Neodiprion lecontei: one gene and its partners. Each later gene encodes a partner of the first gene's protein in a complex. Links are inferred from orthologs where the notes say so. Each region holds a gene or a part of one and is shown in the gene's direction. Other genes may lie near its edges. The genes, in order: vacuolar fusion protein MON1 homolog A, regulator of MON1-CCZ1 complex and vacuolar fusion protein CCZ1 homolog.

Region 1 (6,075 bases):
GCGAGCTTTAATCTCTCTACGTGGAATTCTACGACGCGGTTACGCAGCTCCCTGGGTGTTATACTAATCAGCAGATTGGCGGTTAAACCGAGGTTCATAACAGAAATCTTCTTTAAATCTAAATATTTAGTCCCATTGACGTCTCTGCGTCGTAGGATAAATTTTCAAGCCTCTGAACAACGTTGAGCATTCATTTGGCTAAATCAATATTTCTGCATTACACACAACCGGCGAATTACGCCAACGCTATGAAGGTTCTGTTGATTTAAGAATAAGTTAGAAACGAAGTCAAAAGGTGCGCGAATATCATTGTTTTCTTCAAGCTGACGTAATAACATTTCTCCTGTATTAAATTTCTATCATACGGTTCATCGAACCCCATTTATCGATCGCCTTCTATGTATGTTTATAAAATAATTTCTTTTGATCGAAACATTACGCTTCGGGGGGATTTTTCTTCACTTTTTTTTTTGCCCAATGGTTCGCTTCATCTTAAAAAATGATCGTGTCATCCTGAGAAATAATTCATAATAACAGATTTGAATAAAAAATCTTTCACAGGTCGAATATCGGCCCTGCGTCATTCCGGGTAGCTCGTGGGAGTTGATGAGAGAATTTCTACAAGGTTTCCTCGGATCAGCTGTACCGAATCAAGCTCCTCAGTATTTACAAGTAAGATAAACGAAGATAATATATATACGACTCTCCTTTTTACGACTGGAATTTGAAAATAAACCCCTGGCAATTTATAACTACGGGATCAAGTGAATTGTTGTAATTTGTTTAAAACATGTTACAGAATCGAATGAATGAGATTTATCAACCTATGGATACCATACAGCAATATTTGGAGCATTTTGGACAGTACAGAAAATCTACCAGCGTCATATAAGCTACAGCCACTTATCGTCAAATACAGTGTTACAACATCCCAAAAAGACTTAATCTCTGTGTCTTATTCAACTTTATGATACTCATAATCGGGAGATTAAATAGAAATCCAAAAATCTTACCCGTCTTGTATGAATTTTTAACATAGATAATTATGCTCAGTATTAAAATCTATTGGTATGTCATCGCATTCACGAATAAAGAGTTTCGATCGGCATGTAAAAGCTTCATTGAATCAATAAGAAGAATTTATGAATGCTCAAGGCGTCTTCCAAGTTTTATTTTCAGGCAAGGGAACCTTGAAGAATAGTTCCAAAACTTTTGAAACGAGATTATGTTTCTTCCTAACCACACTGAAGTTGACAAACATATGTAACATTTATATACGAATTGATATTGTGATAAATAAGTAAGTTCCAGAAATTCCTGTCACATGCCTATAAGTTGTTTTCGATAATTTTTTGCATGTAATATATTTGACTTGTGCATACATAGTGATAATCAGCAGGTTATGATTAATCAGTTTCAGACACAGTAATTTCAAAAGTTTCTGATAACTCTTCTGAAAACGCGATTGAAAATAAAAATATCCATATGCATACTGATAATGTAGGTGCGCGTTTTTTTTGTAATTTTTCGTCCGCACATTACGCAATTTTCAGTCAAGGATATTGTGTACGAATCATCGATATAACGGCTATTGTATGTCAAAGAATTTCCCGCACGCATGCAAATGACTGAAGTAAGAATTGAGTGACAGAATTCTTTATTCGATCCATACGTTTCAAATATTTGTTTGACAATTATACGTAATTGAATTTTAATTTTGCGTTGGACACAGCTTTTGCTCCAAGGACGGAGTTCGAACCGATTGATATATTCCCGCTGATAATCTAGGGATATTTTGTCAAGTCGTTGCATGGCGTTGGCAGCGGTGCGCAATTCCAGGGGCTCCCAGTGGGCGACGTGCATAAAGATAACAGCGACGACGTAATGCTGGTCGCAAACATGTTGGCCGCGCTGTCATGGCCGGCTGATGATTGACAAACGTCAATTTTGTAGGAAAAGTGTGAACCGTGAGTCGACTAATTAAATTAGCGTAAAAATGGCCAATCCCGAGGCACCTGGTGTCGACGACGTTATAGCCGAGCCAGGAATCGAGCCTGGGGCTTCGGCCGAGACGATGCTAGTGACGACTGATAGTTTCGAGGAATACGAGCAGGAAATGAGCAACAGCATAGACGACAGGCAAATGAAGGAAAGCACGACTAGCACGATATCCGAACTCCAGGAGGACATTCGAGAGGCCCCGCCGACGCCAACGGCGGTCAGCCCCACGGAGCCAAAGCCTGAACCTCCCGACGATTTGGAGCTCGTGAGTCTCCTAACCTCTAACCTGACAGGAGGGGTCGAATTCAAATTGCTCAGTACGCAGATTTCCCATTTTTTAGGAGGACAACACGCAGCAGCTCAGTTTGAATAGTCTGGAAATTGACCCACTGAGGAACACGACGTGGCTAGCACAGAGAAAGCATATATTCATACTGAGCCAGGCGGGAAAACCCATTTACTCGAGGCACAGCTCCGAGGATAAACTCGTCACACTTATGGGCGTTATGCAGGCGTTAGTTTCATTCGTTCAAGCTGGTAACGACATGATCAGATCGGTCCACGCGGGCGATACTAATTTCGTTTTCGTTGTCAAAGGTCCACTTATCTTAGTCACTGTGTCTAAAACACTGGAAAGTGTGCCGCAGCTAGTTTTACAGCTAACGTGAGTTTATTGCAGAATTCATTCTTACAATATGCAATCCTTTATTACAGAGTCATGATACTTATTTTCCTCAAGATATCGGTATTTCTAATTATGTGTGAAAATAGAAATAAGTTTATTTTCTTTTTAATATCCCAGTTCATATTGTTCACTGACTGTTTTCATTGAACCCATTCAATAGACCTAAAATTTGCTTACAGATATGTGTATAATCAAATAGTTTCCGTCCTCACGCAATCTCAACTGACGAGGGTTTACGAACAGAGGCGAAACTTTGATTTGCGAAGATTATTGACAGGCAGCGAGAGGTTAATCGATCATTTGTTGAATTTTATGGATAAAGAGCCAGCCTTTTTTCTAGGTGCTATTAAGTGCTTGCCTTTGTTGCCCTCCATGAGGGATGCTATTAGTCAAACCATTGTTCAAACTTGTGGCAAAATTAAGGTGAGGAAGCACAGTGTTTGTGTACCTTGAGTGATTCAAAAACGTAACGTTCTATATTTGTCTCTCTTATCAAGCCTGTCTTTTATTATCATTTTGTTTGTAGTACTCCCTGTGTTGTAAATCTTCATTTTATTTCTTCTTCATTGTGTCATCTATACTTGCTTTGATTCTCCATCTTATCCAGCATTGCTATGGATAAAATAAAAATATCTATTTATCTACCTGTCTTATAGCAAAATTTATATAAAACTTACATGGGATAAAAATAACAATGAGCTCACTGATAAAAAAAATTTCAGAATCTGGTGTTTGCGATACTACTGGCTAATAATCAGCTGGTAACATTGGTCAGAATGAAAAAATATTTCATACACCCTGCTGACTTACATTTGATCCAAAATTTGGTCGCCAGCTCGGAGTCGTTCAAAACGGTAGAAAGCTGGACGCCAATATGTTTGCCCAAGTTTGATTCCAATGGGTTTATGCACGGTCATGTTTCGTACCTGGCAGAGGATTGCCAAGCTTGTTTATTACTTCTGACTGTCGACAAAGACGTGTTCTATTCTCTATCGGATGCCAAGCAAGTAAGCAAACTCTTATGAATTCATTGAAGAAGATGATCTATTATTGATTATCATATCTTGCTAATTTCTCATCAGAAAATAGTTGAGAAATTACGAAGGACAAATTGTTTGGAAGCAATCAATGAGTCAATGAACAAAGCATCCATCACAACAGCAGAAATTGGTTTACCTGAGATGCGACATGTCTTGTACAAATGTAAAAGTACGGCACAATTCTGGAGTCCTGGTTTTCAACCGCCATATACAACTGATGAAGAAATCGAACGGTAAATTTTTGTATTAAAAAAAAAATAATATGATTTTTAGCAGTGCGTTAATATTTTTATTATAAATTTCAGACTATTGGGACTCTATCAGTGCCTTCATCACAGACTGCATGCCCCAAATCGACCACTGAAGTTGATATTCCAACAATTGGACAAAGAAACAATGTTAGCTTGGGTAAGGTGTAAAATAATTTGTTTAAAGTATTTAAAACATTTGCTTCAATGATTACTAGTATCAATAACGCACTAGTATTAGTATGAATATTCATATTTCATTTGTGACAAGATTTGCAATTCAGCTCTGATTTTTTTCAGGTAACGTCAGGTTTCGAATTGTATTTGACTTTTGAACCACTGGTGACTAAACCAGATGCGATAAATTCTGTAAGCAAATTGCTGAAATGGATAAAGAAGGAAGAAGAAAGATTATTTATATTGAATTCACCAACGTTCTAGCAAGAATTTGAAATTATGGACAAAAAAGGCTCAAATGTCTCAGCTGTTGCACTGTAGTAACTGTAAATGTGCTGCAAGAAATTTTTTTTTCAAAGTTTTGGTATCGACGATGTATGAAAATTGTAAAAATTGGGAAGGAAGAAAGGTAATATAACGTAGAATGTATAATTTCAAAAGGCTATGACTAGGTACGTTAAGATTTAAGAAATGCAGCAAATCATGTTCAATTTGATTTCGGTTGATGGAAATATTTATTTTTGAGACGATTTCCTCCATCCGTATATTTGCGATCGAAAAACCTATTTTTGACGCATCCGAGAATTGTATTCCCTAGAAGCTCCCTAAATATAGGAGTCTTATACGTGACTAATTGCACGACTAATCGCCCATTCCTTCGTATCTTTAAGTGTATATTGTATACTATATTTTGCTCACTATTTATAATTATGAAATTTGAGATTTGGTAGTTACTTTATTACAAAGTAATACAAACTTAAAATATGTAAATATCGCATAAAATAGATGAAATATCGGTTATTTAGATATTACCGACTTATGCAATTCAGTGGCATTATGGCCATGTTAAGAAAATATTCTTTTATGATTATGCACTGTTTTTACCTTTGATATCTCGAAAATCCAAAAAGAATTTGCAATGCTATTGCAATGTTTTGAACCAATCTGTACATTCTAAAAAATGTATGAAACCGAATTTTTCAATGTCGGTTATTCGTATACAAGCATAAAACATGAAATGATCCACAATCTGTAGTACTAAATAGCTTTCCCAATTAATTCGATACCCGAGTATCGTGGATACTCACACTCCACTGAAACAATGTTCGAGTAAGCTACTATGTAGCAGTTAGTTAAAAAAATTATGTAATTTTAATATTATTAAACTGTAATTAGCTAAGTACAGTTATCGTTTTATTTTAAGCTCTGGCAACTTGAGAACAAAGATATAACAAAAAACATATGTATGAAATGATGTATTTCAAATCATTTTTATGCTAATTACAGAATCTTTCGCTAGAATGATGAATCCCTTTTCAATATTGTTATGACACAGAATTCTTTTAATGATCAAGGTGTACAAGTTGATCTCGTTAGTCATACAAATATGAAGTTACTTACAGAAATGACAATTTGGTATTAATTTTTCATTGTAAATTTGTATTCTCTCATAGTGAGGTGTGTTAGTGCCTAGGCCGCTCTCGTTCTCTCCGACGATCTCGATCTCTTTCTTTCTCCCTGTCGTCCCTTCTGTGCCTATCCTTATCACGATCTTTATCTTTGTGTGATGATGAGGAATACAGTTTAGGAGATTTGCTTCGTTTACGTTCCCTCCTGTCTCTTTCCCGCTCCCTACTTCTGGACCGCCGTTTCTCCCTTTCTACTTTTTTCTCAGGGCGAGCATGTCTCTTTTCTCGATCCCTGTGACGCTCTCTTTCAAAGTCTTCTGTACGTTTACGAACTTCCTCCTTTACTACGGGCACATCTTCGTCATCTGAAGACTCAATTCCCTCATCCATGTCGTCCTCGAGTGCGGATATTTTTCCCTCTGAAACAATTAAATCATTTGTTTATCACTTCCAATTAATGGTAATATAGATGAGGGAATTATAAACGTCTTAAGTTTGAATAAAATTAAGTGTTC
Region 2 (5,917 bases), on another chromosome or scaffold:
TTCTGAGACGAGGCGTTCAGCAACTTCCTTTTGAAATGTGAGTGTCATTTTGGTTCTTCCCATGGCCCACGGTCCACTTTTCTCAGAGATAGCTTTAAGCCAGACGATAATAAGATGAGTCGATACGCTGAATGGTAGATTACCGATCAAATGAATCCTTGGTGGAATATCTTCCCAGCTTTTTTTCTCACACTCAGGAAACAAGTTCAAATTTACATTCAATATATCTCCTATGATTATTTCCATTTCGCCATTGACGTTTTGAAATGTTTCTTGGAGTAGCTGCAACGTAGGCAAAAATCTATTGTCTTTCTCAACTACTATTAACCTCTGTGGATACTTTCTCATTATCGATCGCGTCAATCCCCCTGGTCCAGGTCCGACTTCCAATATATGTCCATCTTTTATTCTACCTGCTGTTTTGATGATTTTATCTGTGAGACGTTCGTCCATTAAAAAGTTTTGGGACAACTGTTTACGCGCTTGAAGGCGATACAGTTTAACCAAATCTCTTATTGTGGGCAACGGAGGTAATCTTAGAATGGTCATTTTGGTGTGAACTTATTATTTTCTGTATATTTTTTCAATGTTAGATCGTAACAACCTATGAATATATCTAATCCTATATTATCGTTGCCTTCACGATAATTGTTATTCTGTCGTTTTTACTGGCTCTTCGAAATCATCAAGGAAATTTTCCTGGCGAACTGCATACATGGAGTACCCGTATATTCCTAGAACCAATGCTCCTAGCGCTAGACCGGTATATCTGTTGTTTCTTTGCATTCGTTTCAAGCTGGCCACTCTCTCAAGATTCCTCTCTTCTATAAGTCGCATGTACTCTTGTTCGACAAGCGTTAGTTTACGAAAGTTTTTCCCTTCATGGATTTTTGGCATCTGCTCATCAGCCATTGCACAACGATCTGAAAACGAGTGAACAAAGCTTCATAAATGAAACGAAAAAAACATTTATTCATTTTTATCCTATTTTGTGATTGCGCCGTTGTATACAAGCAATATTCTATGTTTTGTAGAAGTTCTTTTTTATTATCATTCGATTCAATACAAGTTATAGTATCGTTTACTGTAAGAATGAAATAAGAACGATCTTTGTGACAACTAAATGACTAGAAATATATTGATATTATTTAAACGGCAACAAAGCTGATAGTTGGGAAAAATTATCATGGGGATAAGAAAAATCATTGGAAAACTGAAAATTCCCCGGTTGATTAGTGATCATCAATAAATTGTCGTGGGATCGCAATTAGAGGTTAGAACATCGCGGAGTCTGTACCTACGCTCCAAGTACCGGGACATTTGTAACCACGATACTTAATCGGAACCGTTAACGGCGAACCACATTACTTAATCGTAAAAACCGTTGATATTTTGCAATGACTCACCTCTATATTGCAGAATTTATGGGATGATCTTCAACACACGTAGGTTACGTCGATTGTCACCATGATGGCATTAGAATGTGATGATGATGAGGCCCAGTTTTATTAGAATCTTCAATCTCCGCTAGACGACGCTACCATTGCACAAATCGTCACCTACCATATAGCGACGATTGCAGTTGTACCTTTCTCACCGACCATCATCCATAGGTAGTTTCGTTAATGACAAGTCGCAGGAGCCCTGATGTTTTCAGCCAATTGTATCTTCGAGTAAATTGGAAATAACCAATGACGTGGCTTTTGCTGTGTAAGCGAATTTACTGATACGTGTGAATCAGGTTGTGTTAGTCTTCTGCGAGCTGTCAAATAGCGAAAAATGGAATCAACAAGTAGTGAAGGAAACGATGATTATTACCTCGAATTGTCGCCTGATCCTGTGAGATTCGAATCGATCAGCCCGTTGACAAATGTTTTCTTCGATGACACGAACAAGCAGGTCTCTTTATTTGGATTTTCTTAAACTGCATTGATAACCTAAAATATTAATGATGGATTATCCCTCGTTTGATAGCCCCTTGACAGCTGCAAAATTCATGCTGTAGGTATTCGCTGTTCGTTCAGAGGGCGTTATCGGGGTCCTGGTCAAGGGTCCGGAGCACAATTTGAATTTCAGAATGGAAGACAAGGGTCCCATAATCTCAATCAAGTTCTCGCTCGACATGAACATCCTTGCTATACAACGGACTAATACTTCTGTCGAGTTCATCAATTACTCATCGGCCTCCGGATTGGACAATGTGGAATACTCGCAGACTTGTAAAGGAAAGAATGCCTCTATCTTAGGCTTCGTCTGGACACACAGCAATGAAATTTTATTCGTCACAGATCACGGAGTGGAACTGTTTTTGGTGAGTATCAGGCAGAGATTTTTTTCTACCTACTTTTCCTCCATGTGTGATCACTGTAAAAAGCACCATATAAGTCTGTGTAGATGTTAGATCAATAATACTCTATATTTTTTAGGTGGTTCCAGAGAAGCGAACTGTCAAAGCACTGAAATCCCTCAGTTTGGGAGTCAATTGGTTTGTCTTCTGCCCTCAAAGCTACCTCGTTCTCCTCTCGTCTGGTACCATCGGCAACCAAATGCAAGCGCTGCATATCACTCCTGGAAACTTGCACAAGCTCACCAAATTTGAAAGTGAGACAAACTTCTCGGGATTAACTTTGGAGATTGATTAGCCGATTAACGGAGATAGATATTGCATTGTTTCAGTGGAGGCTGGAGCCACGAAACCTGGGAAGCTCGCAGTTTCGGAGAGAGATGTAGCGTTGGCAGTTCTTTACGGAACCCCATCAATAATTGTGCTGCGCCATCAACCAGGAATCAATCGAAGCCTTGGTACGGCTCAAGTCTACGTCTACACAGTGCATAAGTAATTTTGTAATTTGCTTTTTCTCCGATTTTACCTCTTTCAAAGTACTCTCAATGATTCATTGATGATCCAATGTTTCAGAATGCTCACGATAAAGAAGAGCCACATTTTAAAACTCGACACTAGTGGCCGATTCGCAATCAATGTTATCGACAATCTTATAATTGTGCATCACCAAGCATCCGAAGTAAGTCTTGTTCACAAAGAACTACCTTTTTGAAAACGGTATTTTTTTCAGACTATTGACTGGTAGGAGATAAATCTGCTGATATGTACTGCTTATTTTATAGAAGCAGTTTAGCATCATTTTTCATTACTGATTGTGAACCAATTCGAAGCACTTTTTCTTACCATTGAAACATGGCAGTCTTTGAGTTTTATCTCGAGAGTAATTGATTGATAAATTACAGACTTCGATGATTTTTGACATTAAATTGCCGGGAGTGAGCGACGGCACTGTGATGCATCATACCAGTATAGCTGCACCCAAGCCGATAAGACCATACAGTTTGAAGGTCCCTGGCACGACTCTGCTAGAGCAATTATCTCAGCCCTGTCTACTTTGTATCCTTTTGAAAAAAAGATAATGATTATAAAAATAACAACATTGATCACCAAGCGTTTTACTTAATTTCTCTTAGATTCCCCTGGCTGGGTTGTTTTTCAACCAAATATAATAATCGATGCAAAATTAGGATGCCTTTGGTAAGTTTATGAGAAAAATATTCAACTTGTTTTCAATCTAGGAGTTTAAAAGATGCATGGAGTAAAGAAGTTGTCGATTAATTCACAGGTTTGTTAAGCTGCGACTTGAATCGTTGGTAAAATTAATCCCCGACAAAGTACTGCTCGTTGAGTTTTTAATGCAACGAAATGATTCCAAGCAGGTTTTGATGCAAGTTGTGAAGGAAAATGTTACTCAGCTACCGTCAAGCTTGTTGTACATGTCAACGATTTTTGATAAGTTGAACACTGTTTATCGTAACCACCTCGAAAATGAGTTGCAAAGCCAAGTAAGTGACCATTGTGATGAATAATAGCGATAAAAAACCCATTGCACATTCATCTTCTATCGATCAATCGACAGATGGGAACGCCGCTGCAAATTGGGTCCAAAGGTGTCGCCACAGTGTCAGAAAACATTAAATACAAACAAATAATTGATCAGAGCGATATGTACACTTACATATTGTCAAAGTTTCCCGAGGACACGACAGAGCCAAAAATGGTGGTTTGGATACTGTTGGAATACATTAGGTACATGCCTTGACGAAAAGTGTAGTTTGAAAAGAGTTTTTTTTTTTTTCAGCGTATAGCTCCCTGGGTATAAAATCTCTCAATGAACTTTCTCCGATTTTTTTTCCTTAGGTCTCTGGCCGATCATGATATACCTGTTCAGCACTACCTCCATGAATTGGTAATCACGACTTTGGTTCACCGGAAGGCTTACTATCAGCTGCATCAGTTGCTACAGTATCACGTTGTCGCTGACTCAAAACCACTCGCCTGTCTTCTACTGTCTTTGGAAAGTCTCTATCCAGCTGCTCACCAACTTGCGCTAGATATGCTCAAGCGATTAGGAAATGCTCACGAAGAAATAATGGAAGTCTTGCTATCCAAAGGACACATATTACCGGCATTACGGTGAGCTGAACACCCTTGAAAATGCATCTTACAATTGTAAAAATGAAATTTCATATTTCAAGGTGATCCGCCTGGAGAAAATACATATCTTTCCATTACAGGTATGTCAGATCGGTCGGAATAATCGATCAGGTTTCTGCTCGCAAATTTTTGGAAGCAGCAAAGACCTCGAACGATCCTAAGTTGTTTCACTCCGTTTATAAGTTCTTCGAAAATCGCAATTTGAGACTCCATAACACAACTGCTTTCACAAGAGGGGAACATTGTCAAACATATGTACAGCATTTTAAATATTTATTCCAAGGAACTGACAACGGCTGTAATTCAGATACAAATTCAAATGTATCGACTATGTCATCGTAGGTCGAATCGCAATTTATTTGCTAATCGTAACACAATTATACATATTGATTTGGTCATGCATTGAATAGCGAGTTATAATAGAAACAGCCATGGTTATGTACCAAATAATCAAATGGTATTATTTTTTTTTTCCTCTACCTTAAGGTTTGGCTGAAATTATCAGGAATAATTAACTCAGCATTCGCGTATCATCACGCTTATGTTTTTGTTCAATGCCCACAATTCACAAGACTAGTGCAATCAAGAATTTGTGAAATTTGTGAACAGGATGATAAACATGCATGGAAAACCAGAAAAATGCAGAAAGTAAGGAACTAGCAAACTATTTGTAATCTTACGGTCATTCCGTTTCATTTCTCGTACTGTTCTGTGATACATTATAATTAATGCTGTGTTGAGAATGGTGCTGCTTGAAGCTCTGTTGTGTAAATTATAATATTGTATAAAAACATTTCCGTGGGATATGTTATTATGAGGATAATATATGTAAAATATTTGTTTTTGAATTTACTATTATTGACTGAATATTACCGCATGGAATAAGTCTGGTATATTTTCGTTCCCATCACGAAGTTACTATTACTTTGTGGTTCCCACGAATGACAAGTTGACAAAAAATCGAACGTCTCTCATTATCCACAAACTTTTCACCGAATGCATAACGAACTGATTTAAAGTACGCAATAATAGCTACATTCACGTTGTCGCCGAAGCCAATCTCTACAACTTCAGAGAGGCAAAGTGATAGCTGGTAGAATTATCAAAATGGCGATGATGGTCGGAGGTCTAATTGAACGAGTGAATACAATTGATGAAAATAAACAAGTACTGAGTGAATTAGCGAGAAATAACGAGGTGAAGATCAATTGCGTAAAGTGTAAACTATGCGTAGAAAATTTTTTATCATTGAATCCGTATCGCTAAGATCGATTAAATCGTAATTGTTCTGCCGCATTTTTCAGTTCGTCGAACCCAGCAAAGAAAAACTCGACAAACTATTCGATAAATTGAACGCTGAGAATGCGAGAGAAATTGTAAATTACATGCACAGCTATGAACCAGATTGGCACAACA
Region 3 (5,312 bases), on another chromosome or scaffold:
TTCTGAACATTATTACTCTTATAATAAAATTTGTACCAAAACTATGTGGCCAAAACACGTGTATTATAAACGGGGAAATCCATCCTCTTACAGGGAGGATTTAGAATTGAGATAAAAATCTGAAAAAATTAGGGAACTGTTTTTGAATTGTTTGAAGTCGATTTGAAGGGCGGCACGGAAAAAGATCGGCAACACCGTAAATAAGGATCACCCTAATTGTGCACATACATAGTTGAATTGAGACACGCATCGAGCATCAGTTTGATTTGATACAAAATAACATCGAGGGCCTTAGAGATCAAGGGTATGTAGTACTCGCAGACCCTTTGCGTTTATTTGTTTATTCAATATAGGAAGAAAAAGGGGGACTTTCCTCGGTCGGTAAGGATAGGAGTACTACATACCCTTCATTCGCAAACTAAAAATGTAGCCCAGGAGCACCTGTATGTGTTCACATGTTTTCCGCCGTCACATAGGCGAAAGGCACTACTCGACGCGCACAGATTGCCTACATACAGGCAGATTTAAACGCATATACAATAATTTACGATCCTTACACGCGCATTTCAATAATAACGAAATTCAGGAAACAGATATGCGTTAAAAAAACGATCGTCGAGATTCTCAGTGACCCTGTTTTACTGGATCGTAATATTTCCGCAAGCGTGTATGCAGTTAATAAGTTGTACAAAGATCCTTACCTAGAATTGTGAATTGTAACCGGGAGTCCTCGTGAATACTCTTTTGATGCCGTATCATCCTCAAACACTGCTGGTTGCCCATTTGCACTGATTTACACAACTAGACTGCACTGATTTACACTGCTAGACTGCACCGAAGGTCACCGATTGATGGTCATTACGCGAATGCTCTACTTCGGCTGGACGAAGGTCGAGGAAATATACAAACCAGCGTCGAACGAAAATCGCACCGTCAAACTTTGTTGATTCGGCTGTCTCGCGACCTTGTTTTCCCGCTAAACTATCAACCACACCGCATTCCGTAATTATTCCAACGAATACACACTTTATCTGCGATAAGTCAGTACATTATTTCACTTTAAACACAACACACCAACTTCAACTTACACGCGGTTAATTGGATTACATGAACGAAACTCAACGTCAGTCGAATAATAATGAAAATGGCTACTTGATCGTTTGTCACTTGTTTGTCAGAGCTTGCGTATCCCGCCAAAATTTACGAAATGTCGATGCAAGCGCCATCATGGTGAAATCAAGAGTATCAAATTGATCGGTAAGTGCGTCGGTAGGTGAGGTAGTATTTTTCCGACAATTACATGCAGCGAAAATTCGAATTTGCTTACCATAGAAGCACGTTTTGTTGCTGTCATGATATGAATTCCTTTGTTTGACCAAACTTCCGCATCAAATAAGTCGGTATTTACGCTCACAATCAACTCGTCAGCAGCGGAGATTCTTCATCCGGATCAATCAGACCACCTTTCGTTAAATATTCCAACGTGTAGAGTCATAAGTATGTGCTGGATTCGTAAGTCGCAGATCACTCACTGTTGGAGCACTGTCGAGACGTCTCACACCGAACAACACACCGAACACGTTGACTGACCTAACTTCAGTGAGCCGATATTCTCCTTGTTCAAACTTGGAGTCTGTATTGAAAATGGCGACTTAGACAGCCAGCGCCACTGACGGACATTTTACAAACTACGAAAGCAATGATGATTTTCACTTTCTTGGTCGGCATCTATTTTAACAACAGTTTACGGAATAAACCACGGACTTAGCATGGACCGTGGAATAAACTAGTCTCATAATCAGTTTCCAACTAGCTGTCAGAATTCTCTCTGACAGAGCGTTGATTGGTGTTGATAGGAGCGATATAGCGTTAAATTTTATTTAATAATAATATGATATACGTCGAATTATTTTGTTAGCGTCGAATTAATTTATCCATAGCTGTACCGCTAATCTGAATCAACTGAAATGACATCGAAGACTGAAATTACGTTGGAACATTTTTATATTTTCAATGGAACATACGCAAAGAAGGAAGGAGAGGTAAGAATTTTGTCAGTATTATTTGTCGTCGAAGTATTTCTGGTCTTAAATTTAACTCGAGTTTAATTTCTCTTCCTTCTTTAGACACAATTGCACAAAAACACTATCGACATGTATTTGTCTGTACAGATGACTAAAGCTCGTGATGATAAACGATTTTTGTGACTCACAAATTATCATATCAGAGAACATGTGCACTAGAAAAATCCAGTTACTGAAATGTTATTCAATTATTTATAGTATACCATTACGGAACAGTGAATCAATATTTATTTTATTTTAATTTTAAGCATGAATTTTTTTATTAAAGTTCATTAATTTACACCTCTTATTATTTTAGGAAGAGAAAAAGATTCTGTACTATTATCCAGTTTCAACGGATTCGGAAACACAAATAAAAAATATCGGACTTGGAGAGGCGATCATTAAATTTACCCAGTAAGTAAACAATAAGAATCAGTGTTGAAATAGTCGATGTTTACTACTGGATAATCAAAGTTTTCTTTTAATCGACAGATCCTTCAGCCCCGGACAAACATGTGATTACTGTCATACTCACAAAACCCGACAAATCTATTTCGAACCCGAGCCAGATTTCTGGATGGTTATGGTATTTGTTTTCTCATTCTTACAATATCCTACACGTGCTTTCAACTCAATTGTATCAATCACTTGGTTTTTTAATCCCCGCAGATTGTAGGCATACCTTATCTTTGGAAGACCAAAGACGATACGGAATATATTGAGTATCAGCATGACGAAGTATCGAGCAGCGTATGTCAAGCGATCCTAAAACAAACTTACGCCATGTTCAAACTGTTCATGGGCTCTTTTAATACCATTTTAAATGACCCTGATTGCGGTTCAGTTCTTTTATTAAAGCATAAACTGGATCACTTTTACTCAAGGGTAATTAACGATGAAGTCACATTTTTTCTCCAACCCAACTTTGATCGATAAATTTTATTTTTACCATTTCATTTCAGTACCTGCCATCTCTGAAATTGAACAACAGTGACATTTTAGATGTTTTTCAAGGCTTGCAATTTTTACCATTAGACAAGACGACGTTTCTCCACGTTCAATGTTTTATGAATCTCGTCGAAGCAATGTTTTCTCAAGTAAAATACACCGCTTTCCTATACAATGATCAACTAGTCTGGTGAGTAAAGCAGTGATAAGCAAAGGTATCGATTACACTAGAGACAAAGTTCGAACAATTTTTTCGACTAGACGATCGATAAAAAATATTGCTTTTATTAGGAGCGGGCTGGAGCCTCAAGACATGCAAGTTGTTTACAACTATTTAGTAAGCACATTGTTACCAGCTCACCTTGAAACTGAATTACATGGTGGATCCATGCCCCGTAATTCTCCATCCCCGTTCACAACCTCGCACTACGGAAAGTGAGTTTCGACTCTTCACAATCAGAGAATTTGCAAACAAAACGCACCATTAGTCTTGATTATTATTGATCACGCAATAAACATCAATCTTTGAATTTTGTATTTCAGGTTCGTAACAGGTCCTAGCAGCATTAATGAACCCAGTGGAATAGGCAAATTACCCAAAGTGTTCATAAATTATTCCACAACGCCAGTTTCCCTGTATTTAGTAGTGTATCGTGCACTGAGTGCAACGATATGTTTATTTGTGGACAGTAAGTATACTTCGACAGTACTTTGCAGTAAAATTATTCACAACTGTTGAACAATGCAAACGTTAGATACTCTTGCTAATTTGTATATATTCGTTAAAGGCAAGACCAGCTTGCTTATGGATCTTTTTAAAAGCCTCGACACGTTTCTCGGGCCCCAATTAACCACGCTGGTCAGTCTGGTGGCGGAACAGTGTTCAAAGCACGTGTCATTCAGCGCTGAATCATGCCCGAAGTATTTGTACTTCAACAAGCTGAATTTAGCCTATAAAAGCACGATTCATTTGGATAATAGACGCTGTTCTAACGTATTAACGACACCTGAAGTGCTACGGATAATAACTGATATAAATAATGATACAAAAAAGTATGTAAACATAAATCAAACTTTTCATGCACACAGCTTTACCAATGAGCCTTGATGATATTTCAGATTCAAAGAAGCTGGCGAAATCGTGATAAAAACAATGAGCGAATACTGGGTTGTTGGCAAATTATCGAACTTGAGAGAATTTTTTGTTGTTACGCAACAGAAAAATGCTAATTTAATTGAAATTGATGGTGCGTATAAAAGTGAATAGCAAATTTTTCAAAATGCATTAACAAAATTGAGTTTCAAGCATTATATTTAATAATCAACATACACGATCATTTCAGATGAAGTAAGGCGACTCTGTGATCAACAATTGAAAAGTATATTCTTCCACTAGTGTCAATGATCAATCAGGTACGGTTCTAACATTGAGTTGGCAATCAGAGTCCACGATCAAATTAATTGCTAACTAATATTTTCTGAACCTTTGAACATTTCGGTTGACTTAATATCATCCAACAATCTGCTTGATTATACGTTTATGTATAATTATACAGTCGGATTGACAGGTATATACAAATGTATATAGGTCATAGTGGATTACCTCACCTGTGCTGTACAGCAACATGTAATATAGTAGATAACAAAAATATTCAAAAAATAATACCTATTTACATCACAGTGCAATAAAACTGTACTGACATTAGCTCGGACTCTACAAATTTCTAATTTACGAGGTAAATATTTTTTCCGTTGTTATTTTTATCATAAAAAACGGGGCAACTTTTATAGAGTTATCCTGAAACTGCCTAAAACGTATGACTGACGGTCATTTATAAAATTTCTATAATCAAAATGATGCAAAACATTGGAGTCACTGATTTGCTTTCGTGTATACGATTAGTTTATTCAGATGTAGCGTCATCATCCTCCACAATCTCTTGCTTAACAACCATATTCGAAAACTTTTTCAATTTAGCAACAAAAAATCCGTCCATGTTATGCGTATGGGGATAGAAACGTCTGGTCAATTTAAGAGTCGGGTGAAACCTGTGATGTCGATAGTTTGTAAAGCCTTCCTCACCAAAATCTAAACCAGTTGGTACAAGTTTCACGTCTCGTTTCTTCAAAGCATAATCAACTATCCACTCGTTTTCCTCTGGAAGAATTGAACATGTTGAATAGACGATAATGCCTCCGGTGTCGGAACGTGCATTGACGCTGTCTATGGCAGCCAATAAAAGTTCTCTTTGCAATGTGCAACAACGTTGAACGTCCAGTTCGTCTTTGTTTATTTTA

What was found.
Region 2: the proteins of vacuolar fusion protein MON1 homolog A (region 1) and regulator of MON1-CCZ1 complex are in contact, whole or in part, in a cryo-EM structure (PDB 8JBE), measured with the Drosophila melanogaster proteins. The link is inferred for Neodiprion lecontei from reciprocal best matches to the Drosophila melanogaster genes Mon1 and Bulli. Residues at the interface, in NP_608868.1 of Drosophila melanogaster: Pro416, Glu417, Arg419, His438, Pro439, Glu445, Arg448, Met473, Lys474, Glu475, Arg476, Glu494, Pro495, Val496; in NP_648047.2 of Drosophila melanogaster: Ile561, Arg565, Lys568, Asp590, Leu592, His595, Ser596, Arg599, Phe600, Met603, Phe631, Pro632.
Region 3: the proteins of vacuolar fusion protein MON1 homolog A (region 1) and vacuolar fusion protein CCZ1 homolog are in contact, whole or in part, in a cryo-EM structure (PDB 8JBE), measured with the Drosophila melanogaster proteins. The link is inferred for Neodiprion lecontei from reciprocal best matches to the Drosophila melanogaster genes Mon1 and Ccz1. Residues at the interface, in NP_608868.1 of Drosophila melanogaster: Trp112, Gln113, Phe120, Leu142, Val145, Ile146, Leu149, Phe152, Val153, Gln157, Asp158, Ala159, Ile160, Thr161, Ser162, Ile163, His164, Ala165, Gly166, Ile168, Phe170, Phe172, Arg185, Arg459, Ser464, Arg465, Pro466, Leu467, Lys468, Leu469; in NP_647835.1 of Drosophila melanogaster: Lys48, Gly51, Leu52, Ile56, Phe59, Thr60, Thr62, Phe63, Thr64, Asp68, Cys69, Gln70, Ala71, Leu72, His73, Thr74, Gln75, Lys76, Thr77, Ala114, Glu115, Ala412, Asp413, Asn416, Pro427, Ala428, Glu429, Glu430, Val431, Gln432.

What each region holds. Positions count from the first base shown.
Region 1 is NC_060260.1:35,646,361-35,652,435, reverse strand, and holds vacuolar fusion protein MON1 homolog A, read left to right. Parts: upstream 1-1,864; 5' UTR 1,865-1,996; coding exon 1,997-2,266; intron 2,267-2,342; coding exon 2,343-2,665; intron 2,666-2,865; coding exon 2,866-3,109; intron 3,110-3,408; coding exon 3,409-3,693; intron 3,694-3,768; coding exon 3,769-3,959; intron 3,960-4,031; coding exon 4,032-4,134; intron 4,135-4,274; coding exon 4,275-4,415; 3' UTR 4,416-5,453; downstream 5,454-6,075. Other genes in the region: mediator of RNA polymerase II transcription subunit 20, read left to right, coding at 562-672, 800-892; pre-mRNA-splicing factor 38A, read right to left, coding at 5,615-5,979. UniProt on the Drosophila melanogaster protein: Part of the Mon1-Ccz1 guanyl-nucleotide exchange factor complex specific for Rab7 that promotes the exchange of GDP to GTP, converting Rab7 from an inactive GDP-bound form into an active GTP-bound form.
Region 2 is NC_060263.1:20,634,414-20,640,330, forward strand, and holds regulator of MON1-CCZ1 complex, read left to right. Parts: upstream 1-1,598; 5' UTR 1,599-1,779; coding exon 1,780-1,899; intron 1,900-1,974; exon of another isoform or gene 1,975-2,005; coding exon 2,006-2,311; intron 2,312-2,426; coding exon 2,427-2,601; intron 2,602-2,676; coding exon 2,677-2,836; intron 2,837-2,917; coding exon 2,918-3,023; intron 3,024-3,246; coding exon 3,247-3,400; intron 3,401-3,477; coding exon 3,478-3,541; intron 3,542-3,629; coding exon 3,630-3,849; intron 3,850-3,923; coding exon 3,924-4,093; intron 4,094-4,204; coding exon 4,205-4,480; intron 4,481-4,581; coding exon 4,582-4,839; intron 4,840-4,987; coding exon 4,988-4,997; 3' UTR 4,998-5,349; downstream 5,350-5,917. Other genes in the region: dimethyladenosine transferase 1, mitochondrial, read right to left, coding at 1-549; cytochrome c oxidase assembly factor 3, mitochondrial, read right to left, coding at 652-912; transcriptional regulator ATRX-like, read left to right, coding at 5,609-5,698, 5,806-5,917. UniProt on the Drosophila melanogaster protein: Positive regulator of the Rab7 guanyl-nucleotide exchange activity of the Mon1-Ccz1 complex, possibly by enhancing its endosomal membrane association.
Region 3 is NC_060261.1:2,310,785-2,316,096, reverse strand, and holds vacuolar fusion protein CCZ1 homolog, read left to right. Parts: upstream 1-1,767; 5' UTR 1,768-1,967; coding exon 1,968-2,042; intron 2,043-2,382; coding exon 2,383-2,480; intron 2,481-2,540; coding exon 2,541-2,652; intron 2,653-2,735; coding exon 2,736-2,951; intron 2,952-3,028; coding exon 3,029-3,204; intron 3,205-3,305; coding exon 3,306-3,449; intron 3,450-3,557; coding exon 3,558-3,703; intron 3,704-3,802; coding exon 3,803-4,067; intron 4,068-4,133; coding exon 4,134-4,261; intron 4,262-4,357; coding exon 4,358-4,410; 3' UTR 4,411-4,719; downstream 4,720-5,312. Other genes in the region: probable 28S rRNA (cytosine(4447)-C(5))-methyltransferase, read right to left, coding at 4,919-5,312. UniProt on the Drosophila melanogaster protein: Part of the Mon1-Ccz1 guanyl-nucleotide exchange factor complex specific for Rab7 that promotes the exchange of GDP to GTP, converting Rab7 from an inactive GDP-bound form into an active GTP-bound form.